2 linked regions of the Daphnia pulex genome follow. The protein of the gene in region 2 interacts with the protein of the main gene of each other region in a biochemical or structural test. Links are inferred from orthologs where the notes say so. Each region holds a gene or a part of one and is shown on either strand. Other genes may lie near its edges.

Region 1 (15,685 bases), on a different chromosome or scaffold from region 2:
ACTATTTCAACTCCATTTCTGATCTTGTGTCCTTGTTTCTTTTCTTCAAAAAATACGAAAAAGAAAAAAAGTGTGTGTGTGGCTTTTTGTGTGTACGGGTTTTTACCTACATCTCGCAGTCGTTTCTCTTCTCTTTTCCAGTTGGAAAAATAGAAATAAATCTTTCTCTTTTTTCGCCTTCTCGATTCATCATGAAGGATATCACGATCATGGCGGTACTGCTATATAATTCCCCTCCATTTCTTTTCTTTTTTCTTTTTTTCTTTCTTTCTTTCGCCAGTTAGTTTCAACACTCTTCCTCGTTCTTCATCTTCATGCTGCCTCCACCTCTCTCTCTCTCCTCCTTTGGCTTTCCACCTACCTCATGCTCATTGCCCCCTTTCACCGACAGCACCACCAACACACACACACACACACACACACCGGTTTACCTTGTTGCTTTGTATTTTACGAGCTACGACTCCCTACGAGTAGATAAATAGTTGGCGAGGATGAGCTGCTGCTGCACCAGCACTAGCAGTAGCAGCAGCAGTGCAAGGACGAACGAACGAACGAACGAACGAACACAAGAAAACACAAAGAATCTCTCAAAAGAGAGCTGTTGATTGGAAGCCCTTTTCAACCTTTTATCCTTCTCCCAGAGACAACTAATTGCCCAAGCGCCAGCCTCGAGACGAAGATAATTACGACCTTTTTTTTTCTTCCTTCTCCTTCTTCTTCTTCTTGGCTTGATTTAAAACGACCAGAAGAGTTATTTTTATATCAGAAAAGAAAGAAAGAAACAAGAGCGAAAGAACGCCACTAAATACTAGACTGCAGCAGTTGGAAGGTTATTTGGTTTTAAAAAGAAAAGAAATATGTAGAGTCTGTAAACATTCTTAGCTCATTGGGTCTAGTAGCTGAACGAGCCGATGGCAGGAGCCCCGCAGTGAGACCTTTTGTTGCGTCTAAGAAAGTGCGGGGCGAATCTCGATCACTTTCTTAACGCTCTCTTTATAACGCCATGAAAAACAGTCAAGAAAAAGCCACTGCTCTTTTCTTTTTGGGGGGTTGCCGGTTGCCCGGGAGGAGACAAATATTACGCACACACACAACATTCAACAAAAGAATGGGAACCTTTCGAAATTTTTCTAATTCAAAAAAAGTGTAGAGAGAGAGAGAGGGGGGTGATGCAAATGACGGGGCATTAGCGCGATTGGTCGCAGTCACACAGACGCGAGAGAGAAACTGGGTGTTAATAGCCAACTGTCGCCGTTTTCGTGTCATAATGTCTGTGTTTCTTTCTTATTTCCACAGACGAGTAAGTATCCCTCTTGTCTCTTGGAGGAGAGAAGGGGAAAAAAAATAAGTTGCGGTGACACTCGAAAGAGTGACATCAGCACAAGAGAGAAGAGACAACTTTCGACCCCACAAACCACTTAATAATATTCCTCTCCCTTCTTGTTCGTCTTCGACTTCGTATTTTGATTTCCCTCCGCTGGGTCTATGTGCTCATAAGTATGTACTACTACCTCTCATTATGTTTTTACCCTCCCGTACATCTCCAGCCTATACCGTCGACAACTACTTTCTTTTATTTGGGCTGTTGTTGTTGCTGCTGTTGCTGGAGTTGTCAGGTACCAGGGGGGGAGCTCCACTTCATCATGTGGCCGTCCGTAAAGAAGAAAAAGAAAAAAAAACAAAACAAGGAGGAAGGTGGTTACCGTCAAGATGATGAAAAAGAAAGACCTACGGCACTGCGCTGGCAGCAATCAAAAGGGAACGCAACCGACACAACACGCTCGGCAGCGGAAAAATGGAAGAGGGAAATAGTTCTACGACGGCCCGAGACTCTAGCAGCTCCGTTATGTAGGGAGTTTGAACCAGACGGAGGAGAGAGGAGACGTCTTTTTAAATGTTGCGATGATGGCCGTCGAGAGATTTTTTTAGGGGGAAAGAAGAAGAAAAAAGGTCGTAACCAGTTGGGAGGTCCAACCGTCAGTCCGTCAACAACAAAAATGGATATAAAAATCTCCAAATCTATATGAGCTGATCCCGTCCACAAACCCGAGCGACAAACAGAACACACAGAGCGAATATGTAATAATATTTCTCCATCAAAATAAATAAATACAACTTTCTTTTTTATATTTTTATCATGTCCCCGGGAGTGATTGACGAAGGAAAAATAAACAAACGACACACAAAAAAAAAAGGACAACTCAAACGACGGAGGGGGTTTACCAGGAAGCCAAGTGTCTCCTTCCTCCTTCAGGAAAACAAGTTGCGACCAGATGGGGCGCAAATGAGTCTAGAATCAAGAGAAGAGGCTACTACTGCTGGATGCCGGGAAAGAAAGAAAAAATCCGACGCCAATAGTAGTGAGCCGGTGTACAATTGTGTCATGTGTCGGCCATGACACGAGGATATATAAGAGATATATAAGAGATAAAGAGAAAAAAAAGCTGTACACTAGAGAAAAAGAGAGAGAACTGAAGAGATAGATAGTAGAGAACGAGCCGAGCGGATATTGTATTTTGCTTCTTGTGCCCTTTTCATTTCTTCTCGCGTCTCGGGACCAGACGACAACAACGGACGAGTGGATGGCAACGTGTCGTCCGTGTCGCACTAGAAAGCTCGCAAGGTAATATCGAATGTGTCTCACAGAAAAATAAAAAAAGGGAAAAGAGAAAAAACTATTACAATGATTTTTGGGGGGCTCAAGAGGGCGAGCGAACGAAAATAAATAAATAAATAATAAAAAAATTCTTTCTCTTATTTCGTTTCATTTTCTTTCCGCATCTTCGCCAAGAGGGGGTGAAGAGTTCACGGTCCGCACGGAGAATCACGCTAGACTGAACATATTACTAGCGCCGGGAGTCTTAAGAGGAGGCAAAAGGGGGTGGGTGGGAGAAGCTTTTCCGTCGTGTGTGTGACTTTATATGTGCGTTTATAGACACCCCCCTCCACACCGTCTACCACCCAATAGAAAACTTATTGGCGCAGGGAGTGCAAGCACGCCTGGTCTCATTTTTAATGAGAATCGCGCGCCCCATAGTCTTTGGTTCTCTCTCAATCATTTCGTGCAACTGCGACCGGATCGGGAGAGATAAATAAATACGTCAATTCGTGCAAGGCGCAGCCGAGAATTAAGTACCGCCGAACCATTGACGACAAGCCAAAAGCAGTGCCGTCAAAAGCCCTTTCGTGAGCTGTACGTAAGTACGAGCTGCTTGCTATCACTGCTGCTCGTTGTTGAGGCATATCGGTCGATCATCAAAACGCCCTCCCCTCCTCAGGTCTACACACACACAAGTCCATCAGGGCGACCAAATATAATCTGAGCGCTTCGGCTCAACTCAAACGCTGATGGACGTGACCCGTGCGTGAATCATAAACCCATCACACACACGTAACGGGCCCCGGCGCCATTTTCCTAAATGTAATGTACGAAAATGAGGTCATCACGCTCGTCCTTCCCCCCCCCCCTCTCTCACGTCAACAAATAACACAAGAAAACAACAAGAAAACAAGAAAAGCCAGAGAGAAGAAAAGAAAAAAAAGAGGCAAAACGATGTGTGTGTACAAGTGTGCATAACACGATCAAAATGGCGGACCAACCCCCTCCACTCATATCACTCAGCTGAGACTGCGAGAGACAAAGAAGTTGAACAATTTAGAATGTGTGAGAGAAATTGGATGTTAGACGATTCAATCATCATCCCAACTCGTCTTCGGATGGTTCTGGTCTCTCAAGATGACGCCGGGGGAAAGTCGACGTATACAGAGAGAGAACGACTTGCAACAACAGAGATGATTAGAATGCGCATCGGGTAATTGTTGAAACCTCCGTGTGCGCTTTGCTACTTACACATTTCGAGCGCAGTCGAGATTCTTTTTCCTTCAAATAAAGGTAAAAAGGTAAGAAAAAGAAGCTCTCCGTACAAACACACAAGGAGAGAAGAGAAGAGAGTTGCTCTCACTACAACAAGTTTTGATTACGCTCATTATCTCCACGAATGGTAAAACAGAGCCAGAGTAGAGCGCAGCAGCAGCAGCAGCAGCGGCGGCGGCGTCGCTTGTTTCTCCTTCAGCCCAGACACAACGGAGGTACGAAAGACCAATGGGCCCCCGTGATGACTGTTATGATGATGATGATGACGCGGCTCTCTCTCTCTCGAGAAAATATAAGAAAACCGTACCGGAGCCATTTGTTTTTGTTTTTTTTTCTTTTCTTTTCGGTACTCCCACTAGGAATATAAGAGCACGGCCAGGATCTTTTCTTTCGAGTCTCGGGACGTGTGTTCTTGTTTGTTTGTTTTTTTCTGTCGTTGAACGGACAAATTTGACCGGGCAGAATATATATAGAAGAATGGCCGAGACGAGTAGGCATGTGTGGGTTCACCTTGACGTTTCTCGCTCACGGCCAGGTGATTTGAAAAAAGGTCGAAACAAGAGAGGACCCTTCTATAACTTGCTGCGCTTGCTACTACCGACTACGCCAAACAATTCTGAAAGCCATAACTGGAAGGGAAAAAAAAAGAACAAGTCTACTACTTTCATATGCCGTCTCTCAATAGTTTAGTCGTCGAGGTTTATTCATCTCTCGAATTCCGACAAGCTCGCTCGGACTCTTGCTCTTCTTTTACTAGTCCGTCCCGACTGCTGCTGCTACTGCCCTTTTCTCTCTCTCTCGAGACAGTCTAAAAATAACAGAAAAACACAAAAGCTAGAAGGAAATTCTTCCTGGCACCATCAAAATGTTTTGCTTCTGTCGGTCAACAAAACTTTTTTTTCTCCTTTTTTCTAAAAAAGAAAAATTTCTCGACAGTTTCTTTTCTATGGCGTCGATCGTTTCAACAGCTGTAGGACATCCAAACGTTTACGACGGTACCAAGAGGACGGGGATGTGGAGCGGGTCACGAAAGGTCCACGATGTAATTAAAAAATATCAAGCGTTTCTGATGCTCGCTCGCTCTCTCTCCTCCATGTTTCGTTATTAACAAGCGCAGAACCCAACGATTCCAACGAGCCAAGACGAGAGCCGGCGAGGAGGCTGCTGAGAACGGCGCTGCTGTGATCCACTGAGATCCTCCAAAGGTGGGTCATCCCATCATCAACAATTCAACAACAACAACAACAACATCGCAACGGTTTATTCTTTTTATGATTTCGTTTCCAAAGTCTTTTTTTTTTTTATATATCGAACGCTCGACCTCATATTTTGCGACTAGTTGTGCGAGTTTCTCTCTGAATTGAAACCAAAACATAAACATTTGATTTTTTCATTTTCATATTAAAGATTTAAAAGAAATGAAAAAAACTAAAAGAGACAAAACGCGATGCCAAAAAGTTGACTCGAGATCAACAAACTCCAACCAAAGACACAATGTAACCAAAAAACAAAAAGTCGAATAGTTTTCTCGACGCCCCTCGTCATTGGCTCATAACCGTTTTCTTTTTATTCATCCGATTATTTATTCATCAGCGGTCCGACAATTTCGAAATAAAGAAGAGAAAACTTGTTGTTGTCTGCCATCCTCTCTTCGGGGACCTCCCATCGTGAAGGATAAAACGACGCGCGATGCATTTCGTGTTTGGCACACGTCGCCAATAATTTGCGCAAAAAAGACAAAATCAAATAAGAAACAAAACCAAGGGGATTCTGTGTCTGTCTGTGCTGCACAGTTTGTGGGACGTTGTTCGACCCGCTAAAGAACGTTCCTATAGAAGCTGGATTTTTCCCGGAATAATGTACTAATCCCGCTTGGGAGAGAGATGGGTGACTCGAGCGAATCAAAGCCCCAGGAAATTTCATTTAAACAGAATTCTTCCCCAAAAAAAAGGAAAGAAAAAGTTGGCGAGAGAAGACTACTTGCTGCATCAAAGAGTAAATGAATGCGGGCCGAGCGAGCGGCACCTCCCAGTGTGCGGGAAAACGTCTTTACACCAAAAGGGGTCCCGCAATAATAATCATAATAATTCCACGCTCCGATTCGGTAGAGTAGAGAAGGAGAGGACTGGATGGGTAAAGGACGACGAATGAAAGAAGAAATGCTGCTGCTCGTTAGATTACACTAACGTTTGCGTTGCTTAGCCCGAGGGATCTTTTTTCGTTCGTATATCCGCCGCCACGCGTATTGATTGATGGGCCAGCCCCAGTGATTTACATATCACGCTCGCGTAAATAATCGCCCGGTTTTCGATGGGGAGGGCATCGTGCGTGCAGTCTCGTGCAAAACACGATCGTTACCAAGAGAGAAGGAGGGAGGCAAAAGAAAAAATTTCAAAAAGAAAGAAAAAAAAGGAGTTACATATAACACATGAAACGAAACAAAAGCCAAGCGGACGTTTATGGATTCATTTGGCGCCAAAAAGAAACCTACAACGCCTATAGTCAGATATCGCTGCGGTTTACGGATGGCTGAAGGATTCAATCACTCGGAGCCGATTCAATGGACGGGCGGATCGATCGGTTTGCAAGAGAAAAACGAGCACACGACCGGGAGCATCGTGGACGAGTTCATTAATAGCGAATCAAATACGCGCGGTGGAGTGGGGAAGAAAAAGTTGTCACCTTCGCCAAAAAAAAAAACAAATAAAAATTTAATTTAAACAAGAAAAGCAAGTGACTCCAGTCACGCTGAGCTGAGCTGGACCAACCAGACACAATCCAGCATGCACGGTTGAAATCTCGGCAACAACTCTGGGTAGATTCAACGGCTTTTCTAGATTGCTAGTCAACATGTCATCCTTGACGACCGCTTTTCCTTCATCCTTGATGCAGCTGCACAGCTCTCTGTGTCACCTCACCTATACGTCTTATCTGTGTGTGTCTGTCTGTCTGTCAACTGGCACCGAAGAAAACGGCTCTGCTCGTCCCTAAACCTCACCATTTCGTGGTCGATATATCGATTACTACACCATCACGCCCTATTCCTCGTCTTGTCTTCCTTTGTTGTAGCCCTTGCTGCGTTCCTGCGTGACTATTTTTCCAGAAGAAAAAAAAGGAGAGAGAGAGAAAGAGATTGGCCAAAACACGTCATCCGTCCCGATAGCAAAAGAAATCTAAATTCTTTTTCTTTTTTTTCATTCTCGTGTGGACACCTTTCATCCAGCTCTTATCTCCCGACGCCTCGGCAGCCCACAGACGGGCGGAAAATATGAAACAAACAAAAACTGAACGAATCCCAATCCCGAAAACACAAGACACACACACACGAAAGAAAAGGCCTAGTGTTGGATCAAGCTCGGCTAAAGTCGACTAACATTGTCCCGTTCGAGCTTTTTTGTTGTTGTTGTTGTTCGATATTCGTGCTGTCCCCCTTTTGCCCTCGCGTTTGAAGCTTGTTGTTGTTGTTTTTCCTCCCCCGTTTCTCTTTTGTTTCTTCATAGTGAGAGACAGTGAGACTCGTGCGCTCACGGTGTAATAAGAAAAAGACCAAAGTAACCGAGCTCTAACTACACGTAGGCAAACACACACGGACGGCCTTTAAATTGGCTTTGGACGCAGACAAGGTGGATGGAGGGAGGGGGGATGACGACGTCCAACGACGCCGATGTTTTGGGGGAATGGTTCGACCCCTTGGAAAAAGAGAGAGAAAGGTGACGGGACTTCGTATAAGGCTCTTGTAGGGTTGCAAAGCTCAAGTTCTCCTGGCTGCTCTCTTAACATTAAATTTTTATTTTTTTTATTTATTTAAAAAAATATTTGTCCTTCTTTTTCTCCCCCTGGCCCCCTTCTCTTTTGATGGTGGCTATGTGCATGTATATGTAGACTATATAGATAGAACAGAGAGATAGAATGAAACTTGGGCGACTTCGGTAGTCGCTCGCAATTAGACCCTAGGAGAGGGGAAAGGCGACCAGAAGAGTTATAAAAATAATATGTTGGATCTTCTTTCTTCTTTGACTTCCATCATCTGGTTGGCTTAATATAAAACTATAGACTCGATTACGTCAACCCCTTTTTTTGGCGTTGGGGGAAAAAGCAAAAAAAGGATAAAAATCCAATAAAATTGTGACATTTGTTTTCGATACCTTTGCGACTTCCCCCCCACTTTCCTACGCTAGTCCGACTGTCACTTGACACTATCCTATCAAGAGTCACGGCGAGTGGGTTGTTTGGTCTCTTTGGCGTCAGCCCCACACAATAACGGGCAAAAAAAAAAAACAAACAGAAAAAGGCAAGCCACTTTACGAAAAGCTCGTTATAAGTAAGTACATTTGGGTTGGGCTCGTCGAACGCTGCAGCGGGTCAAAGTGACTGGGCAACGGTCCACTTGGTTCTAAACCCGGTAGATTTCCACTACCCACCAGCACTCGGATGATGCGACTCAATATCAAGACAAAAAGCCAAAGAGCTTCTACATTACAGACACACACACACACACGCTCTTTCTTTTCTGCCAGTTATCCACTTGTTAGCCATTACCTTGACGACCTTTGCCCACCTTCCCGTCACATCCGACATCCGATATGTCAAGTTTTGTTTCTCCAAGAGATTCAGGGATTGTACAACATTCAAAAGGGTATATGTGTGTGTGGGCAACTGCCCAATAGTTAATGGCCTTAGACTACTAAAAAATAGATACGAGCATCCTGGAGTTGCAGTCTTAAAAAAGTCAGAAGAAATGTCAAAAGAAACTCACTTGTTGTTGTTGTTCACTGTGTCGACGACGGCTCCTCATTCATAGCCAAGTAGTTCCATGTGGTTGAAAATGGGCGAAACAAACAGATCCTGATTGCACTCGAGTGTCTTGTTGTTGGGTGTTTTTCTGGTTGTAATTTCAAACAGGAAAACGCGTGCAGAAAAGTCAGGGCCAACAATTGGAGGGAAATCAAAAAAAGATCCTTGTCTCTTTGTTGTTTTTTTCGACAACCAAGCACTGCTTACTCGATGTAAGTTTAAACCCTCGTATTTTTTTCTGATTTATTAGCCGTTGACACGAAAGTTTTATCCGATAGAGACAAACACGATCACTCAACACTGGTGCAAAAAGTATCCCGCGTTCAAGTGAGAAAAAAACCAATGAAAACAACACTGCACGAAGGGGCTTGCCAAAATCCAAAAACGTGGTCGTGTGCAGCTCAATCAATCCCAAACGCCCAAACTGAACCACAGCAGACGACGTTAAAGTTAAGCCTGATTGGATGACGCCAAAAACTGCGTGTAGATTCCGCTGATTTTCAAAATGAAATCAAAACGAGTGGGGGTGATGCAGCAGCAGCAGTAGCAGATTGGAAACAAAACAGAGATTCACGGAGCAGCAAGAAATAAGCACCGCAACGCCTGACAGCCGGCTCGCTTCTGAGCACGCTGGTCCCTACGGTCGCCCCTCAACCCCCCTCACACACACACACACACCATGCAGTGTGTGTGTGTGTGTGTTCATAGCCCAACCCCTCCGTACCACCTCCCACCTACCTACCACGTTTTTTTTCTTTTTCTCTTGCAGCAATGGTGGTGGTGGTGTGTATCTCTCTCTACCTTTTCAATGCGGTCTATATCTCTCTCCACCCACCGTGCTAACCCGTATGCCCCCCTTGGCATACGTAACAACCACGGATAACAACTAAAAAAGAAGAAAACTGCGCTAGACTCTCTCTCGCATTCCAGCACAGCAGATCCTTGAGCTCTGCAATATGAACATGTGCACCAAGAAAATTGTACGATGGATGAAAATCTTTTTAGTCTGGAAAGTAACATTTTTTTTTTTTGCGCAAGCCTATGGGTTAGGTAAGAAAGTGTAATACTGCACGTGATTGCATAGAAAGGGTATATGTATACCTACACTCCGGGAAACTCCGGGAGGCGTGGTGCGGATCAAAGGAGAAAGAAGAAGAAGAAGAAGGCAGAAAGACGACCTTGAAGGAACGCACACTGAAATAGAGATAGAAAAATTTGTTTATTCTTTTTCAACAATTTGAAAACGACTAAAATATTCAAATCAAAGCCCCCAACACTTTTTTTTTCTTTTTCTCCTTTTTCAAAAGAATGTCTTTTTAAACTTTTTTTTTTTGCGGCATTTGCATATTACGTAGCAAAGCGACGAGAGAGAGAGAAATAATGGGAGGGAATTCATCGACGCACACGTATCCACAGAGTATATTCAAATCGCCATGTGGTAGCATAAAAATTCGAACGTTTTAGAAGAAAACAACTCGTTATCTACGGTGAGAGACTTTACGAAACCAAAGTCTGAAGCAGAAAAATCTTCTTCTTTTTTTAAAATATTATATGAAAATGAAATTTTTTCTTTCGGTTTCTCTATACACAAAGTCTTCGGGTCAGCGAGAAAGTTTATTTTTTTGAATCGTAAACGCGCCACGATTAAACGAACTGGTCGTCGCCGTTCTTATTTTTTTTTCGGGTGAAAAAAAAATATCCATCGAGTGGCCATAAAAATATTTCATTATAAATCATTAACAAACAAAGGGGAAAAAGGAGAGATTAGACCCCCGGTGCTGGACACGTTAAGGACAAAAAATGAGAGCCGGGACACACAAACGATTTCAAAATAAAAGGAGAAAATAAAAATAGAAAAAAAGAAAAAAACGGGACCCGACCCGCCGAGAGTCAACCGAACGCCAACGTTTTGAACAAACACAATTTCCTCCCTCCATCGGTCGACCTCAATAAATTGAGGGCAAAGAGAAAAAAGAGAGAAAAATAAAAATAAATAAAAGGCTCAACCGACGAAAAATTGGGGAGTTGATGTATTGGATATCTGATCGGATAAAATACATGCATGCGATATCGGGTTTGGTTTGTGTGTGTGTGTATAGTCTCTTTTTTCCAAACTATTATGTACGATAGAAAATGTTATAATATGTGTAGGCAGACAGGCACAGAGCAGACAGCCCCGACGTTTTTCACCGTCCCCCCTTCTTTTTGTCATCGGGGTTTTCTGTTTCCCGAAATTTTTCGTGTCCTGTGGGCTGTGGCTGTTTATTTCGTGGCAGCTCTGCGGTTTCGTTTCTCCTTCTTCTCTACCCTTAGGTGATTCTTCTTCTTCTTCTTATTTTATTTTTATTTTTTTTTTCTGATTCGTCTTTCGCTCTTCCTCCAAAGGCTTTGCATAATCAACCGATCAGATTCGGCCCGCCAGACAATTCAACACACACACACACACGCGAAAGGGAGAAAAAGAAGAAGAAGAAGAAACGCATCAACACCAGAGCCAACGACGCAACGTACAGGACCGCTGCTCTCCACTGCACCTCAGCGTGAAGTCCAAACGCGAGTCGAAAACTTTTTGGCGGCGGCACATCATCTTCCCGTCTCGTTTCTCTCTCTCTCTCTCTGGTTTTCGTACAGTTGCGGGAGTAACAAACACATCGGACTCAACAACAACAACAACAACAACAAAGTGAAGAAGAGATGGGCAAATGCCTCGGGAAAGAGAGAGAGGTAACTCTTCACCGGTAAAGACGCCACACATCATCTGTAAAAGCTTCGCCGTGAATTTCTAGCGCTGTTACACAGAGAGAGAGATGAGGAATAACAATAAAGACGGACGCCACATGCTGCCGCCCAGCTCCGCACACACACACACACACAGAGGGTAAGCAGAGAGAAAAGTATAGAGAAACTGATGGATCCGTCAGATTGAATGCTGTTACAAGCCTTCTAGATCCCGTGTAAAAGCATCTCCATTACAGAATCATCTGTGCAAAGCACAGCGCTTTTGTATTTACAACAGCACACGCCAAAAGTCGTTATAATCGAACTCAAAACAAGTGTTTATACATAGTATAAGTAGTATGTATATTCATATTCACCGATGGCAACTGCTAGTACTTTCACCACCAAAGTTTCTGGTTGCTGCTTCCTCGGTTTGTTCTCACGAACAGCGGAATTAACACACACACGCCGAGCGCCTTCTATGCAGACGCCCGTGTAACAACTGTAACGCACGGAACAATAACGTTTTCCTATTACAAAAGCTTTTCCGGATATTTGGTATTGCGATATACAGACATTAAGAAGCGAACCCAAGAGTTTGGGGATTCTCTCTCTCTGTGTGTCTGAGTGTATAAATACAACAAACTCTGGCGGTTGATGTTGCTGGAGAGCTGGGCGCAGCAGCATCAACTTTCAAGTAACAACAGCCCCAACAAAAGATTTTCGCAGTATCTATATGGCTGGACTCCGTTGTATCTGCCCAGCCAGCAACCAGCCACCAGCCAGCCAGTGTCTATATATGAGGTACGCAGAGGAGTTTCGTGGAACTTGTGAAAATGCCAAAGAGTCTGGAGAGAGAAAACCGAAACAGCAGTGAGAGAAACGATTCGGAGCGGTTGCTGAGCTGCCCCAGCTTTTTTTTTCCTATTTTTCTTTGGAAACTTTGAAAGGTGTATATACTATATACATGCACAAAACGAGAAGCTAGATAATAATATATGTACTTCTTCTTCTTCTTCTTTTCTCTCGATTCTTTTTATTTTCCCCTTTTCTCCGAGTTGGCCCCCCTGTTCTCTCTCTCTCTCTGTTCTCTTTGCTTAGCAAATATATTGCTAATGAGTGTAGTCGTCGGTCTTAACGAGCTGGCAGCCAACTATTTTCCCAAAAACTCTTGCCAGTCGCTCGAGCCCACACTGCAACCCCAGTACACAGCACGACCAGCAGCACAGCCGCATTACCAGTCGACTCGTCTACTTAGCAAAGTCGGGATAAGGGGAAAACATTGGCCTCCGCGTGATTATTATTCAACCGAATCCCCCAGAGAAGAATAAGAAAAAAAAATAAAACAAACAAAAAAAAGGAAACTTTTTTTTTTCTTTCTGGTACCCAGGCTTGTAACATAGGCGTCGGTCCTCTGAATCATCCATTGCGATCCGTGAAAGGAAAAGTAGAGGAAACGAGTAACACACAACTGGATATAATGCTGCGCTGGCCAGCACAGCAAGCTCTGGAAAAACAATCCGAAACGTAACGAACTTTTTTTTGGAGGGTAGAACTTTTTTTTTGGTTCGTTCCGTTTCGCTTCTCTGCGCAAGTGTTGAAATTGCCGCCGACAAGGCCGCCAAACTTGCAGGGATGGCGAAGGCAACCCAAAATGACGAGCTTGCATGAATATTACATGCAGACGCTTAATAGCTTGTAATGGGCCACAAGACAACAGGTCCTTAAAAGAAAGAAAGGAAAGAAAAAAGAAACGACAAGACGATTGAGCTTTCAGTTTCTATAAGCCGAGGGGCGTGAATAAGTGAACGAAAATAGTCAAATGACTTCATCATCATCTTTCTATATCTCTACCGAAAATTTGTGAGTGTATTTTTGATTATTTGATTCGAATTATTTTTTTTTTCGTTCTCTTGCCTCGAAATGCGCACAGTGAAACTGATCGAAATCGCTTCTGATTGGCCTCCATATTTAGTCATCTCTCCTCTTCTTCTGGCCTTCGCCAAGGACCCGAACGGCCGAATGCTTGGAAAAATTGCCTTTTATATCTATTTTTCTTCATCTTTTTTTTTATTATTTTACTTTCTTTCTTTCTCCTTTCCTTACTTGAAAAAAAAAAAAGAAAAAAATCCCGGGTTCAACAGTCGAAAATGAGTTGTGAGGTAATTGGGTCCCGTTCAAACGCCAACGTTTCCTTAATTTCCCGGCCCTTCTGCGTTTTCTTATTTTTTTCTTTTTCTCTTTTTCTCTTTTCCTCCTTTTTCGTTTCAGTTCAGTTTTCTTTTTGAAGAAATCACTCGATTCGTTTCTTCATGGTCGGCTGGTCGTGATTGGAATTGAAACGGCGTGAAGACGAGCGAAGAGCGAGAGAGAGAGAGAGAACAACCCCGCCAGTCCTCGGCTGCTGGATCCCGGGCACGGCGGGCAGAAATTAAAACGAGTGAATTTATTTTCAATTCAAACTTTATTTCTTATCTTCTTTTTCTTCTGGTATTTACTTACAACTCGGCACACGGAAACGCGTACACTCCGCACGCCTCCTCCTACAAGTTTCCGCGCGTTATTCGTCAGCTGTGTGCACTACTACACATACACACTAACGTGGAAGTTGGGCTGCTTAATAGGCTATAAGCCTTCACCCCCAAATTCTTTGTCGACCATCTTACCAAATACAGGAGAGACTAGCATCTTTAAAAATCTCTAAAGAACGCGGGGGATATTTTGGGGGGGTTCTTTAGTCGTAGGAGGAAAAATAAAAAAAGCCCCCCCCCTCTGGAACCACCCTCCAAACAAGATCCATGTCCAAGATTCCGAGAGTCCAAAGGCTCTTAAGTCTCATCAGCGCCCAAATGCACGCACAATTTGACATATCACAAGTCAAAGATCTCATCGCTGCGCGCATCGCTCTAACAAAAGACCTAGTACTACTACTACACCAGCAGTCGCTCCGGCTGACCAGCCAAAACCGATGCCAAAGAGATGAGGCGCCCATCAAGGGAAAAGGGCTAAAGTTTTTCGGCTGCGATTAGATATCCATCTCTCTATACCCACAGTACAATATAACGAGCACCGTTTGAGTATATATAAATACAATGTACACAGCACACGATGGATATCGACCCGCATTCTTTGATTCCGCATTTGTCTCCTTACTTCCGCCCACCAGCGGAATTTAATCATTCAGGCTTCTCCGGTGGACAATTTCCCCCAAAGGTAAAAAAAAAAAGAAGCCTGGACGGACAATCGCTGCGTACTTATCTGTCCAGGGCGACGTTTCTATTTTCAGCTGGATTTTGAAAATTTCAATCGCTCCATTTGGAGAGTTTTGGAACGTTACCAACGGCAGTAAATTCGTTGTGTATCTTTGATGTAAGTTTCGAAAAAACGGGCGCCGAGATGTTTTAGAAGGATAATGCAGAATGCAGGATATGGCATCGTCCATCAGCCCAACTTTTTGTTTCGTTTTCTTTTTTCGCCTACGCGTTTCGATCGTGAATAAATAACGCTTGGCGATTTGAACCCGATGACGAACGATGGTAGCCGTGGGAGAGACAACAACAACAACAGCAACAGCAGCAGCATCTCAGCGCTGGAAATCAGGAGAGGAGCGAATAAGAGATGGACGCCGGAGATATCGTTCACCAGCGCGTCGTCCACCAAACCACAAATCGTCGCTCTCATCGGGTAACAACCCGTGCCCGCGCCGTCCCACCCATATATTCCTGGGCGTCCCATTCTTCTTGATTTCGCAACGGCGCGCCTTGACAAAAGGAAGAAAAGAAGCAAGAGAGAGAGAGAGAGAGAGACAACCAAAGGCAACAACTATTCCAGTGGAGAAAGGAAAAGGAAAAAAAGAATCAAGGGAACGTCGGGCGATAAATCTCTAATGGCTTTTTAAAGGAGTACTAAGAGCCGGAGCGATATGTCAACTGCTTCCTCGTTTCTTTTATATTCTCTTTGGAACTCTCTTGTTGTTCAAAGAAGACGAGTCAAAAGGCAAAAAGATGTCTTGTACACTACAGCACTGGCAGCATCCAGCCCCTTCTTCCCAGCACACAACAACACAGAAGAAACTGTGGTGGGCAAAAGTTCTAAGCGAACGGGGGGCAACCGAAAGAGTCGATGGCGCTTTTTTTCTTCTTATCTGTCGTCATCGTCTGATGTTTGCGTCCACCATATTAGAGAGGTAAGCAAAAGACAGACGATACGCAGTATATATATGGAAGGAGAAGAAGTATTACGTGTATAAAAAAAGGCAGCAGCTTCTTCCCACAGGCCTGTTAGTTTTTCTTCGGGGTT
Region 2 (14,860 bases):
TTAAAAAACATTTTTACATGTTATATTCATTCCTTTTGTTTTCTCCCCAAAAGGTCAACGATATGGAAATGAATGGCGTCACACGAGAAGAGGCCGTCCTATTCCTCCTCAGTCTGCAGGATCAAATCGAATTGGTCGTCCAACACAAGCGGGAAGAGTACGACCAGGTGGTGGCGTCCGGCCACGGAGACTCGTTTTACGTCAAGTAAGAAATTTCCATACAACACCCAAAAATGTCGTTCAAATGTTTCATTTTTTTTTCCTACTGAAAATCTTTTTGACAGGACTCATTTCAATTACGAGCAGCCAGCCAGTGGCCACATGGCGTTCCGCAAAGGCGAAGTCTTCCACGTCGTCGACACTCTTTACAAAGGAGTCGTGGGTGCTTGGCAGGCCTTCCGCGTGGGTGAGTTTCTAGAGGAAGGAAAAAAAAAAGTAGCAATACCGAGTAGCGGTTGGGGGCTGTGTTGTTTGGACCGTGACGTCTTCACGTATTCAACATCAGCCGTGATGGATCGCCGCGTGAATTCATTCTGACTTTTTCGTGTTTTATTTTTTAATTCTTCAACCACCACCACCCCCCAAAATAGGTCCGAACGGTCAAGACTTGCAGCAGGGGGTTGTGCCCAACAGCGCGGGAGCCGAGGAATTAGCCACGGCTCAATTCAACGCCGCCAAAAAGGAAGCGGCCACGACGACATCCGAGTCACGCGGTTCCTTCTTCCGGCGAAGGCGACCCACTCACCGCCGTTCAAAGTCTCTAGGAAGGGTGAGAATGCACTTGTATTTTTCGACTGAAATTCACACCTTGCTCTTTTCTAGAGCTCTTTTACGGGCTCTTATCCCGAGAAATACTTTTAAAAATGAACCAAAAAATAAAAAGAACAAATTTAATAAGAAATGCTTGGTGCGGTCACGACTCCCGACACGCCTCTTTACAACACACCACTGCGGGTTTCCACAAGAAAGAAAAAATTTCTTTTCTTTTTGGCGCTCGTCCTCAAAGCGACACACGTAACCGGTTCCCTTTTCTTCTTCTTCTTTGCGGGGACTAATGTTTCTCTCTCTTTTCACGTTGAAAAGAGGAAACGAAAAAATCGTGAGCCTTTTGTCAATTGAAGGAACGTGCGATACGGCACATCCATCATCTTTCTCCTATTCCCCCCTTTTCTGATGCTAATGATGCTTATAAATAGTTGATGCTTTCAACACTGGTGATGATATGTCTGTGTGGCTTATGTTTTTCTTTTTCTTGTCCTTTTCTTTCACGTTTCAGGATCACTGGGATGACGTCGTCTTTGCAGAGACACTCAGCAAATTCCCGGCTTACGAGCGTGTCGTTCTTCGGCATCCAGGGTTCATCCGACCCGTCGTCTTTTTCGGTCCCATTGCCGATGTCGCCAGGGACAAACTCATCAAGGATTTCCCTGACAAATTCTCTGCACCTCGTAAGTTCTACCTTTTTTTTTCAAAAAAATGTCAAGTAAATCTTTGCATTTTCATAATTTTGAAATTTTTTTTTAGAAATGGACGGAAATCGGGACTCGGCCGAAGGGTCCGGAACGGGCGCTCCTGTGGCGACTGGACGTTCTGGCATCGTCCGCTTGAGCGCTATTCGTGAACTGGTGGAGAAAGGTCGACACGCTTTACTGGACATCACCCCCGGCGCCGTGGACAAGCTCAACTATGCTCAGTTTTATCCGGTTGTCATCTTTTTGCGGGCCGATTCGAAACACACAGTCAAGGAGCTCCGCGCCGGAATACCAAAGTAAATAAATAATTCAGCACTAGTGCCATGCCGTGCCATCCGCACACAATGCACATTTCTGCATACTGCAGTGCATAGATATGCATCACATTATACATATATCTAGCAGCCAGTAGTATCTTACCTATCGATATACTATTTCTACATGCCTAGAGCGTGCATGCCTTTTTTGTAGTTTTTTTCATTTTTCCAGTCATGTTGTTGGTTTTTTTCTCTTTTTCTTGCATTATGGAAATTATTATTTTTTGTCTGGTTGCAATGATCCATTGTGTTGTTGTTTGAAATGTCAGCACTCTGGCTGGCCTGGCTCCCCGGCTCGAAGAATTCTTCAAGTGGTAAGTCGCCCATTGCTGGCCAAGTCAACACATTCCAGCCAACTGCTGTGCTACTCATCCAAAAAACCAACCAAAAGCCAACTTGTCTGCGTCTCTCTCGGTGTTTCCCGTGTGTTGTGGGGGGTCTCGGACGCTTTTTACAATTCCCGCGCTATTTTTTTAAAAAACTAACTCTAGCCGATGGAAACGTTGCAGAAAATTACTAACGCCTTTGATGTTTTTATTGATTTATTTCCATTCTACTAGGACGGCCCACAAGAGCAGCAAGAAATTATACGAGCAATGCGTCAAATTGGAGAAACTCTGGTCGCACGTCTTTACGACGACAGTTCCGCTAACGCAGCGTGACACCTGGTACCGAAAGCTTCGTGAGGCCATCGACCGTGAACAGAATCAAGCCATCTGGGTCTCGGAAGCCAAGGTGATTATTGTTATTGTTATTATTAGCCATAGAGCAGCAGCAGCAGCTTCAATTTCGGAGTTTAGTTTTTTTTTTCGACCGTTTTTATGGGATATCATTTCGGGAAAATCTCCAGCGGCACCCGAGCGTGCAAGTAACACCCCGTCGTCTTTTCTTTTTTCATTTTTTTCTTTTTAAAATGAAATTCTTAAAAAAATCACGACGGGGGCCGTCTTGTGCCGCTTCTTATTCATTCCAGTCCTAATAACGAGCTATTTGATACCAAATTTTTGGGGTGTGTCTGTGTGGGTGTCCGGGTCCATTCTTTGCGCCAGTTGGTCGATTTGCCCACGGATGCGTTGCTGAGTCATTTAAATCACAACAACAATATCGGCGGCATGGGCTGCAGCGATCCGCCGTCGTTTTATCCGCCGCCCGTCCCGCCCTCCATCTCGCCGTTCGACCCAACAGCGTCCTACTATCAAGTGGTTGTTGATGACGTCAATTTCAACAGCAACAACAACAATTACGCGCCCCTTAAAGTGATGGCTCGACGGCCGTTGTCCGTCATCCATGAAGAGTCGCTATTCAATCATTTCTTGTAACAACAACCAAATCTTTATTTCCGTCGTCCCCGTCTGCCCGCAACCCCCCACCCGTTAAAAAATTTCAAAAAACTTAAGAGATATTGAATTGTTCGTCGCTTCGGTCCGTTGTGCATCGTCTTCGTCAGGCCGTCAGGGTTCCCAGTCAACCAGGAAATTTGTGTGCTTATATTTTTTAAATTCCGTGTTTCTTTTTTTCTAACCAAAGAAATTCTGTCTTTTGTGTTTGTGTGTGTCGTTGATGTCGTTTTCCCCCCATCCGCTTTTGTGGCCGCTTTCCGCGCTTATTTCAACAACAATCTGTCGTCGTTCATCGGCCGGATCCAGCTGGATGAATACCTCTCGGATGATTTCCTCTTCCCGATGACGTCGCGCCTTTCTTACGCATCTTCGCCAGAGTCGGATCTCGATTTGTCGCCCGAGCCGCGTGCTTCCGGCGGCGCTAGCGGTGCTGAAGGTTCTTCTTCCAAAACCAACGGGGTCAACGGCGGAGCAGGTGGCAAATCTCCGCCGTCGCCCAGTTCCGGTGGCCGATTGGTCAAGAGCTCCAGTGACCCCAGCATCGCCACTCAGGATGATCTGGGTGTCTCCGGAATGAGCAGTCCCGGTGCACTTTTGAAGTCGTTGAGTCCAAGCAAATTCCAGTCTCCCATCAATTCTCATTCTGTAAGTACAATCAATCCTCTTTCCAATCGATGGATCGATTCCATCGGATCTTGGTTGTAAATGTGAATTGGTTGATCACACAGGTGGTGGATTCGTCAACGCCGACCAAACGCCGATCTCAAGGCGGCGATTCCAAGTACGGATTTTCATCGCCGGGCAATGGCCATCATCCATCGCAGAGGGACCCCAACACTCCGCGAAACTACGGCGGCCAACCGCCCAATTACTCTTATAACAGCCCGTCGTCGCGCGGGAGCCAACAGGCCAGCACCAATCTCGACTACATCAACGGACCCCATCAGTCGAGGTCGTCTGGTGGTTACCCGACGTCCCAGCAGCAGCAACAGCAGCAGCAACAACATCATTTCTCGCCTTATTCCAAATACGGTGGCGGCGGAAGCAACGGTGGCAGTAGTCACGGTCCATCATCATCGGGCGTCGTTGAGTTGCCACCGAAAATCGATCGGAGTAGCAAACCGTCAAACCGACAACTGGCACGCTCCGCCCAGGAGCGGCTGTTTGGCTCTCGAGAGGGCGACATCAATGGTCTGGATATCGATACGTATCCCACGTCGCCGCCAGGACCGGCTCCAGGCCAGCCGGGCCAGGGCTCTTCCAACGGAGGACCTCATCAATCTCACGACTACCTGGGCTCCCTGCGAGGCAGTTCCCTGGATAGAGAGAGAGCTGCCAAAGCGGTAAGACATATCGATGGCTTCGAAGCAAGACAAAAGAAGAAATAGCCAATAACCCGTCGATCCATCTCCTTTTCTCTCTTTTCTATTTTTGGTCCGTCCTATGGTTTCAGGGGAGTTACGACAGCTCGTCATCGTACGAGTCTTACAACCGACTTGGGCTGACATTAACTCTGGCCGGGAATAACCATCAAAGCGGCGGAGATGTTAATGCCATGCCAGGCTCGCCCACTTCTGCAGGCCTCAAATCTCACGATCCTTACCGCTACACTCGCTCAACCAGTCAACCCGTGCGTTCGCCGACCGAGCTCACGTCACCGGCGACGAAACAACTTCATCGGTAAGTGGCTGAGATTATTCAACCGTCAGAAATATAAAAGATGAGGAGCAAAATATTAGCGCTAGGAATAACATTTTTTCGGGAGTCGAAGAGATATAAGGATAGAAATATATAGGCCTGTCTAATCCGCACCGCACAAAGTCCCGCAAAGAAAGAAACACACACAAAAATCCATTCATTTGAAACATTAGATTGCCAATGAGACCTCGTTCGGTTAAACGGTACCGGCGGCGACAAAGTCCAAACCTGAGTCTCGTGTGATCGTGTTGTTGTTGTTGTTATTCTTTTGTTCGGGATTCTTTTTGTTTTGTTTTGTGTGTGTTTTTTTTTTTACACGTCGTTAATCAGTAGATGAGAATAGAATGGCCGTCGTTCGTGTGGCGCGTCCTTGTAAATCCCATTAGAACTTTATCGCGTGTTTGGTTTCTTCCCTTTTACTTTATTTAAATTTCGTTCGTTTCTTTCGGTTATTTTTATGATTTCTTTTGAGTTGTTGATTGTTTGTTTTGTTTTCTTTCTTTTATTTTTATTTACCGTGTGTGTGTGTTATTATTATTATATTCTCTTAGTCCCTTCGACCACAAAAAGCAATCACCTCCACCCAAGTCCGCACCTTACAAGCCCGTCCCTCCGCCCAAGCCGAAAAACTACCGACCGCCGGCGAACGCCTCGTCTTCGACAGCCTCCAACAACCAACAACCGATGACACCCAACAGTAACTACTGGAATCACAGTCCACCGGGCACTTTGAATCATCCAAACAGGCCAGCAGGTGGTGGTGGTGGTGGTGGCGGCGGCGGCGGAAGCAGCGGAGGAGATGTTCCTCCTTCCTCTGGCGGAGCCAACAACCATCACGGCTATTATTCACACGGCCCTCCGTCGTCCAATACAGCGTCGGCCATTCACAACGGTATCAATTCCTACCGTTACGAAGATGATACCAACGGCGGCTTTGATTCAGGTATTGAATTATTCAAACTCTCATCGCAATGAAACCTCTTGCAGCTCATCCATCCATCCGTCAAGTTTCCTTCTTTTTTCTTAACTATCCCCCCTATTTCGCTGCGGCTGACAAGTGAAACGATGACCCGTGACTTTATACGAAACGATTTTCTTCTTTTTTCTTTTACAAGCAGGTCATGGAAGCAGTTTGGATCGTCACAGTTACGGAGCCAATTCGCTCTACGGCAAAGCCCCGCCTCCACCGCCGCCCGTCAACGGATCCAACCGCAACAACGAAGCCGGACAGTACTACTACAACATCCCACCGCCCAGGGAGAACAACCAGAAGCACCAGCAACAACATCAATCGAGAGATGGTGGGCGGCTAGATCTTGCCCAACACCGGGATCAACGCGGATCGGCCTTTGAACTGTACAAGAAACCCGCCGATCCTCGATCTCCCGCTCACGGGCACCAGCCACTCTACATGGAGCACAACGCCAGGTAAAACAACACTCGGCCTTATATCCTCGCCACAGCACCCGCATCTTTTGTTTCTTCTTTTTTTTATGGACAATGTGCAACGCACTTTGCGGTCGACATTGTTCGTAGACAACAACAACAAAAAACATTTCTCTTTGGCGTGGTTATTTTTGGTTGTTTTTCATTTGGTGTGGGCTCGGTTTCTATTTCTTTCCTTTCCTTAATTGATTCGGATTGAACGAGTCTCTCGGATAACAAGCACTCGCGCTCTTGGCTCAGACAAAATTAAGCTCATGTAACACTCTAATAAGCTCTGCTGAATGTTGGGTCTGCCAACAACTTTTGGAATCTTCTTTCTCTGCTACCATGTCTCTGTGCTATACATATCTATATAGGCTCGACTACGAGTACTATGACGGTGATGGATTCTCCTCTTCGCCTTACGACTACTACCACCACTATCATCATGACGATTACTACTCCCCTCCCACATCCCCTCCTCCACCCAACTGCTCGGTGATTGCCACCGTACGCGGATGGCTCACGCACGACCATGGAGGGCGGCTGGAGAGTGTCGAAACCGGAGTGGCACTGCTCGTACCGCCTAGAGCTCTCCCTCCGGGCCCGGCAGCTCACCTCGTCTACTTCAAGGTCTGTCGCCAAGACCAGCGTCAGCTTGACACCAACGGCGTTCCTTTAGACGACGGAAAAGGTATACAATCACTCTCGGTCCACTGACACACGGCAAACAATGAGTCACTTTCACCTTGTGCTTCCGTTTCTACCCGCATTAACCACATTCACAATTGTTTATTTGCGATTTCAGTTGTTGCAACAGTCGTGATTCATTATCTAACCATTGCATTTGATTTGATTTGAATCAAAACAGGTGAAGCTTTACTTAGTCCACTAGTTCAGTGCGGACCGAAAGGTCTGCGCTTCCTCCAGCCCGTCGAGCTCCGCATTCCGCACGATGGCGGATCTCGAGCGAATTCGTCTGGCAGGTGGAACGTTTCTCTGAAAGCTTCCAACGAATTGGGACAGTGGCGACAAATTGAACTACCCCAGCGAGGCAACGACGATCACGAACAACGAGCTCAATCGGAGCAATTGGACGACGCCAAAAATTCTCGAAACCACCTCTCCGTTTTCGTCGATCATTTCTGAAAACCAAAAGTTAAAAACAACAACGCCACACGCTCTCTTTTCTCTCCTTTTCGTCGCACCACCTTTCTCTCTCGCTCTCTTTCATTTCTCACTTAATCTTTCTATTACAAAACTAAATAAAAATAATAATAATAATGGATTCTCTATGTCGACAACCAGTTTTAAATTTTAATTAGGCTTCAACGTCTTTCTTCTCACTGTATGTAACTGTACAGTTCCAATTTTTAGTTATTTTGTGTGTTTTGTGAGTGTGTCCAAGAAAAATATACGTGTCCTTCGTCTGACATTAGTAGACGTAACATTTTCTATGATATCGCAATCGTCTGGCCGTAACGAGAGAAGAAAGTATTTGGTTCATCGAAAGCTGCCGTAGTCATTTTATCGTCAAGAAGGGGAACGCAACTTGACTGACGAGTCATTGGGTGGTTGGAAAACAAGCGAGAGAAAGGAAAAGAGCTACTTAAGATGTCAACTAGTCAAATAGAGAAAAAAAAATTGGCTTCAAATGAACTTTTCAAGTCCAGATATCTTGCAAATATCGCTTTTCTATTTGGAGTTGAATGACTGCCTTTTTGGCTTCTTCCTCCTCCATTTGGCGCGCAGTCTGGAATGCAGAGATTAAAGCCTGCATAACATCTTTGGCCATGTTTTTGGCATCACCACAAACGTAAATGCAAGCCCCCTTTTCAATCAACTTCACCAGCGGAGTCGTGTACTGTCGAATCAAATCCTATAATGCGCAAGTAATCTTTTAATACCAAGCAACACGCAAACGATGACTAAACAGCTTATTATTAACTGGTAATGCTATATATATACCTGGACATATTTCGGTTGGGGAGGATTAGCTTCCCTGGAGAAAGTCACGAGCAATCTCGTGAGGATCCCTATCGAATGCCACCTCTCCAGCTCATTCCTAAACGCGTGACACAAGAGAGAAACATTTTTGAAGAATGAAAAACAAAAATCGAGCGTTGACTACGCACGGAGGGGGACAACAAAACGTACTTGAAGAGGTAATCTTGATCTCTGGTCCTGCAACCATAGAAGAGCCAAACAGGTCCGCACGGGAGGTTTGGGTTCGATTTCAAGAGCTCTTCTCTGTGAGCTAAGAACCCTAAGAAAGGCGCCACTCCTGTGCCAGGTCCAATGAGAATCAAAGGGGTTTCAGAGCTCTTGGGCAAGCAGAATCCGTTGCTGGATCTCAAGAATATGGAGAGCTGAACATGAAAAAAATAAATACAAAGAAGTGGTGACGAAGACAAAGTGAATCGAGATAACCCCACTTACGGAATATTCCCGACAACTAGAGTTTGAAGCGCCACTTTCAGCTGAATCAGTGTTCTTCATTTTATCAAACATCCGATACAATTCACCAGTTGCTACGCCCTTCCTTTCGTAGGTACGGCCGTCTTGAATGGGGAATTCGACAACATTGAACACAAAACTAGCAGATTTGGAATCCTAGAGTGGAACAAGAAACAATCAAGATTAATAAAGACTCGAAATTCTTTTAAATCAAATCCCTCACTTGTAATGGCGACGAGCTGAGCGAATAAGGTCGGGCTAACAGACGAGGCAACTGTTCCAGTAGACGTTCGATTGGCGGATTGCACGATGGGAAGGTATTGAGAAAATCTAAAACATTGAGTTCGGGCTGACGGACAAGACGAGTATAATCGTCAGACCCTTGAAGACTGCATAGTTCCATAAGACGACGTTTTTCAAGCTCATTTGATGAGTATTCGGCAAGAATTCGGACAAGAGACTAAATGAAAAGCCAAAAGATCATTTGCAAACATTCAAGTGGTAAAATAGAAATGAATTATCGCATACTTTACGCGGTACACTTCGTATCTCACAACAGCGAGTCAATACAAATCGTAGGGTAGCTAAGGTCGGTAAATGAGACGGGACTTCGTACTTGGGTTTGGCACCGGATTTGAGCGCAGCAAATTCTTCCTTGATTCTCAATTTGAATGGTGTATCGGCTTGCTCGATCATGTTTAATCGACGAAGAAGCGAATCCACTTCTTCAGCGCTGTTTGCGCAACAAACTCCAATAGAATCCCCTGGCTGGTATTCAATTTCAGCTGGCTAGATGAATCGTACGAGTTAGTTGGCATATTTCATCGTAAATGAAAAGGAGAAGCAAGGATACTTTACACAGAATTCTAACGTAGCTTGCAAAGTTGTTTTCAAAGCTTTTTCCCCAGTAAGTTTTTTAAGACTTTTAATTCTAGCTTGAAACACAGCGCTTCTGGAAGAAGGCATTGGCTTTCGCAAGACATCTTCAGGGAAAAACTAAGGAGAAAAAAAATTTATATTACTTCATAACTTTTCTAAAAATAAGAAATATTAAACTCACCATCAGTTCAGCATTGAATTTCAGTTCCAAATAAGACACTGGAAGTAATGGAACTTTTAAATCACATTCACTAAGTGGGGATACAGACACTTTCAAACTAGCTAATGCAACAACACATTTTTCCAACTCTTCTTCTACTTCTTTCTGGACGGGCATTGCCAATGGTTGATCATCAACCTTTGAAATAATTTTAACTTCTGGAATATTGGTATTGGGAGACTCTGTTTGAACTTTGACAACTGAAACTAGATCAGGTAATGTATGTGGATGAGCCAATTGGTTTTCCAGAGCAGGCCATAAGTTTTCAATCCAAGGATCAACCACAATCTCCAGTCCTACTGCATCATCTGCCCAAGCAGACTTGTAAAACTGCTTGGCTCCAAGCTTTTGAAGCTGTTTCTCAACGCTTTTAGGATAGCCCAAGAAAGTTGTGTAGTTTGTATCACCCAATCCGAGTAAAGCATATTCTAAATGTTTCAAATAGTCTTCGTTCAAGTCTTTCGAACGAATCTTTCTCCAAAATATGCATGCATTTTCAGGAGGATCTCCATCACCAGTCCTAAGAGGAGTTCTGTTATGTAACACATGAAAAGACATTCAATTAATGTAAACAAAGGGTCTTACGATGATGTAATAAAGATGACAAATCTAAAATCCTTCCATGGCATCTGAAATAGACAACCATAATATGTTGAATTATTATTGTCAACTAACAATTTGAAAACAGCTATGACAACAAACCTTTTCCACTGATTCGTCCATGGACAACATTTCAACATCGTAATTCTGGCTTTCAGCCTTCGCTTTAATGTCTTCTGCAATCGACTTTGCTTGCCCAGTTTGTGATCCATAGATCAACAACAAATTACACCTTTGTAGAGTCATTTTACATGAACATTGGTTCGAAAATTTCTAATGTAACTTATCACACTCCTATGACACGTGTAGTCGTGTAACACAAATTTTGTCGTCTGCTAAGTTTCCAGTTGTCAATTCAGTCGTGCTGCGCATTTTCGTAAAACGAATTAATTGAAATCGATATAATTTTATACAAAACGAAATCTGCATTCATTTGGGTGATTTCTCAAGGATGTAACGGAAAATCTGTTTTCCCCTGAACCGTGTAATGTCGTGGGAAGAGACAACAAGTTGATCGCTCACGTGAGAAGTCGTTAAAGGAATAAGGTAATGTGCAATCGCTCTTACTACTGCGTGTCCATATTATTTTAACTATCGTCTGAATCTAAGAAATGATTTGTATACCTTATAAGCAAAAACCTGAATTTAATCCAGTCGTTAAATTCGGGTTAATTCAAAAGATTAAAATTCCTAATTACATTTGACCTTAATAGTTGCAATAAGAGGCTGTACACGCATTTCCTGTACCAAAAGAAAATGAACGGCCGCTTTTCTTAGTACCGGCAAGTACAACCAATTACGGTTTGGTTTATAGAGGCGTGTTGATGCTGGAGAAATAGCTTGCTCAAATGAGAGAACGCTATTCCCGGTATTGTGCCGCTATATTACCAGACGCGGTGAAAAGCAAATTCCGAGAGCATCGCCCATTCATGTTGCGTGATAAAGAATGGCTGGAAGAATGGTCCCTCTTTTTCAATGTTTCTCTTTTTCTTTCTACTATTTTTACGAGTTCCCTGACTTTTGGCTAACCTTGAATTTATGACTGTTGTTTGTAAGTCGGGGTCTTCTCTAGTTATTACCGAGATAGTATGCGCGATATGTTTTTTTTTTCTTTAACTTCTACCACCGAAGCGAATGCAGAAGCACAATAAAGCTTGCCGACATATACGGTTCTTTGGCTGCGAAAGTCTTTTTGAAATCTCACTGGAAATTTCCTCGAAATCCCTCCCATTCGAATTTTGCTCATATAGAAATAAAGGGAGTGAGAAAGAACACGATTTATGCTAAAATCTCTTTTTGGCCAGCAGAGGTTGGAAAACGTTTAAGGATCTCATTGGTTATTTACGATGCGTCGGATGATTGCTTGATTTTTCTTTACAGAATACCACCATATTACGTATCAATATCATCAATAACGTATGAATGCCAGATCCGCCTGTAAAGCTTTCGCATAAAACTCGACACAACGGCACGAAGTGTGTGTTAGTATGATTATGTTCTTCGCGTGACTAGTTTGTATAAAAAAGGAAAGTCTGTATCAATAAAGTAAGAATGTAATAATACCCAGGTAAAGCTCATCTTAAGAAACACACGAAACATTAAATATCTAAAGAAGAACCGTTCTCTTCCCACCGCGCTTGGCCCAAAAATGATTCACCATCCCGTCAAACTCGGTTATTTATACATGCACGTAGAAGCAATTTGAATGGATTGTAAGGTAGATAAGTCACGAAGGACCACATTGGAAGGCTGGTATAAATTTACAAAAACCTACTTTGTCCGCTTGGATGGAATTGTAAAAGCCACGCGATCTCTTTTCTGTATGCGGGAAGAATTATTAGACTTCCGAGCGTTTAAAAATAAATTCAACTGCAAAATGGAATTTGAAATATTTCTTTCGTTCGCCGCGATCTTCCAGTTATAAATGAGACCGCCATGGGACGTCATATTAATCACACTCGCCCCTGATTTACATGCGCCTTTAGTTCTTAGTTATGGCAGAGTTAGTCTGACAACTAGGAAGAAAAATGTAAAATTCCGCTTAGAGAAGCTGAGCTACTCGGTTAGGATTGCTTATCGGAATTTCACCTGGTGCGCCAAGTTTGACAAATTATGATGTAGGTCGCATGGAAAATATTTTATGAATTTGCTGAATATACACTAAACTAGCATTTAAAAAAAAATCAATACTTGACTCTATCTGTTTTGTTTGTTTTTTTTCGAATTTCACCCACAAACATTTCCGCACGTGACTACAAATTTAGACCATGGCAGAGTTTGTGACGTTCGTTCGTTGTGTAAGCACTCGATATCGATCAAAAACTTTGGAGAGTGAGGGAATGTTGATATCCACCCATTTGGCTGCTACGTCATCGTTTCCACAAGTCACTTTTCTACACACGCCCCTCGCCCCTTATTTTTGAGGGCATTGAACGAATTTCCAGACGAATTTTTCACAGCCACGATTTTCGTGATGCTGAGCAGTTCGTCGAGTCTTCTAGTCTTTGGTGGAATTTTTTTATTCGAGATATCGCCTGTTGTCTGTACAAAATTTGGTGTCTAGAACCAAGTTTATGGGTTCAATAACTTGTTTAAAAAATTAAAGTGTGGTCTCTTTCGATCCAGATGGTAGATTTCACTTGACCAAAGTTAACATCATGAAACGGAAATTATCTTATTCACGGGATATCGGCATCTTTTCCCTTTTATTACGGACGATGGGAATCGATTGGATGCGACCTAACTTCTTTTAAACGTCGGTTTGTTAATACTTACCTGTGCTCGCCCGTGCTTACCAAGGTGCTTACCTATATTTATCCACGATAAGTTTATATGCTCGTGATGCACTTCTGAGTTATATTTTTAGAGTAATGTAAGAATCGTGCATTTCAGTGCTAAATGTGGCAGAATCAAAATAATTCTACAAATTCTTCTCTAAAATATTTATTAAATTTTCATTTTGTCGTTGCTTATTATCAGAAATAGATGTTCAGAAACTACCATTTTTAAACTAAGACAGAAAGTAGTGATAAAAAACTTTACCACCTATCACTGTCCCCCCTAGTCAATGTTGATGAATTAGACAGTCATTTTCAAATCCTCCCGCTATGTATGCTAGTTGTTTCAAAATCTCTCACTAGATGACTCAAAAGTCGTTTTGTTTTATATTTATTTATTTAATTTGCATAGTTCAATTACATTTTAATAAATTAAGTAAATTAATTAAAGAAATATTTCTGATTTAATGGAATACTAAAACTTACTAGTATATCAGATTTTTAAATATTGTATTCGGAAATTTGGACGCCATGTTTGAGCCAAGTCACTTAAATTAAATCAAATTTAAGATACAAAACCATAAAGAAAAGTTAAAATACTGAAAATTAAGAAGTTAAATTTAAAAATTAATAGAATACGTTGTGAAAATCAAAGAACTTCTCGTATTTTATGTTTAATTGAGTATTGTTTACAAGATCAATGAAAACATCTGGCAGCGTCGTGGTTTCCTGTCATTTTTTTTTGTCAATTTTCGGCGTGGTTTCTATGCTTCTTTCCCACAACCGTTCTATCCACGCAGAGTAGCACTCCTCGTCTTTGTCTCTTTCAAGTCTTGAAGTCTTAAAATCCCAATCAACAATGGCATCAGTATTCGGTAAGTTTATATTTTAACCTGGTCTTTCTTGTCATTGCATTTGTATTGTGTGCCATCGTCATCTTGTATATTTTTATTTAGTTGGTAACATTCCTTATGGCGTCTCTGAAGATCAGCTTAAGGCCATTTTCAGCGAGGCCGGCCCCGTGGTCTCATTCAGGTAATGAAATGCTCTTACTGATGTGATTGTAGAAACATTATTTATATTGTGTTTGAATTAAATTTAGGATTGTCCAAGATCGCGAAACTGGTCGTTCCAGGGGTTTTGGCTTCTGTGAATTCCAGAGCCCAGACTCTGCTCAGACTGCCATGAGAAACCTCAATGGCTATGAGCTCAATGGCAGAAGTCTGCGAGTTGACTCTGCCAACCGAAAGTAATTGCACTTGCGAGTCAACTGCACCACAGAAGATTGCTCTGCTTTCCATGCTGCGTCTCCATTTCTATTAAGATCAAGAAACAATGTTTAAAAAGGATCCAATAAATCAATTCTTTTTCTGTCCCTTTGCAGTTTTAATGTCCAATTGGCATCCCAACTGTCCACTTCATTTTTATCCATTTTCTATTGAGATAATTTCATAATTCTTCAGATGGTTAGTTTTGTCCCTTTTTCTCTGACGTGGCTTGGATTTGGTTATGAGGGTTTAATTGACAGTTAAGATTGGCTTAACGTGGTTAAATCCTTAGTGTACGGAAAATTTTTGGCTACACGTGGTCCAGTTCAACATTCTCACATGCTTACTTCTTGTTCGGTTTCCATACCCGCATAATAAACGAGGCAATGTCGTATAATTAAAGTTTC

Evidence for each region.
Region 1: the proteins of tight junction protein ZO-1-like (region 2) and irregular chiasm C-roughest protein-like form a complex in vitro, tested with the Homo sapiens proteins (3 studies listed by BioGRID and IntAct, with this or other methods). The link is inferred for Daphnia pulex from reciprocal best matches to the Homo sapiens genes TJP1 and KIRREL1.

Annotation. Positions count from the first base shown.
Region 1 is NC_060022.1:5,898,644-5,914,328, forward strand, and holds the start of irregular chiasm C-roughest protein-like, read right to left. Parts: upstream 9,340-15,685; 5' UTR 8,631-9,339; intron 1-8,630. UniProt on the Homo sapiens protein: Required for proper function of the glomerular filtration barrier. It is involved in the maintenance of a stable podocyte architecture with interdigitating foot processes connected by specialized cell-cell junctions, known as the slit diaphragm.
Region 2 is NC_060024.1:10,103,252-10,118,111, forward strand, and holds the end of tight junction protein ZO-1-like, read left to right. Parts: intron 1-53; coding exon 54-205; intron 206-284; coding exon 285-406; intron 407-590; coding exon 591-769; intron 770-1,276; coding exon 1,277-1,448; intron 1,449-1,524; coding exon 1,525-1,768; intron 1,769-2,058; coding exon 2,059-2,103; intron 2,104-2,349; coding exon 2,350-2,524; intron 2,525-3,435; coding exon 3,436-3,774; intron 3,775-3,857; coding exon 3,858-4,472; intron 4,473-4,582; coding exon 4,583-4,809; intron 4,810-5,378; coding exon 5,379-5,770; intron 5,771-5,945; coding exon 5,946-6,255; intron 6,256-6,629; coding exon 6,630-6,946; intron 6,947-7,123; coding exon 7,124-7,401; 3' UTR 7,402-7,685; downstream 7,686-14,860. Other genes in the region: methionine synthase reductase-like, read right to left, coding at 7,916-8,131, 8,221-8,317, 8,410-8,621, 8,692-8,865, 8,933-9,169, 9,238-9,498, 9,568-9,705, 9,770-10,328 and 2 more; cleavage stimulation factor subunit 2-like, read left to right, coding at 14,045-14,060, 14,142-14,220, 14,288-14,438. UniProt on the Homo sapiens protein: TJP1, TJP2, and TJP3 are closely related scaffolding proteins that link tight junction (TJ) transmembrane proteins such as claudins, junctional adhesion molecules, and occludin to the actin cytoskeleton.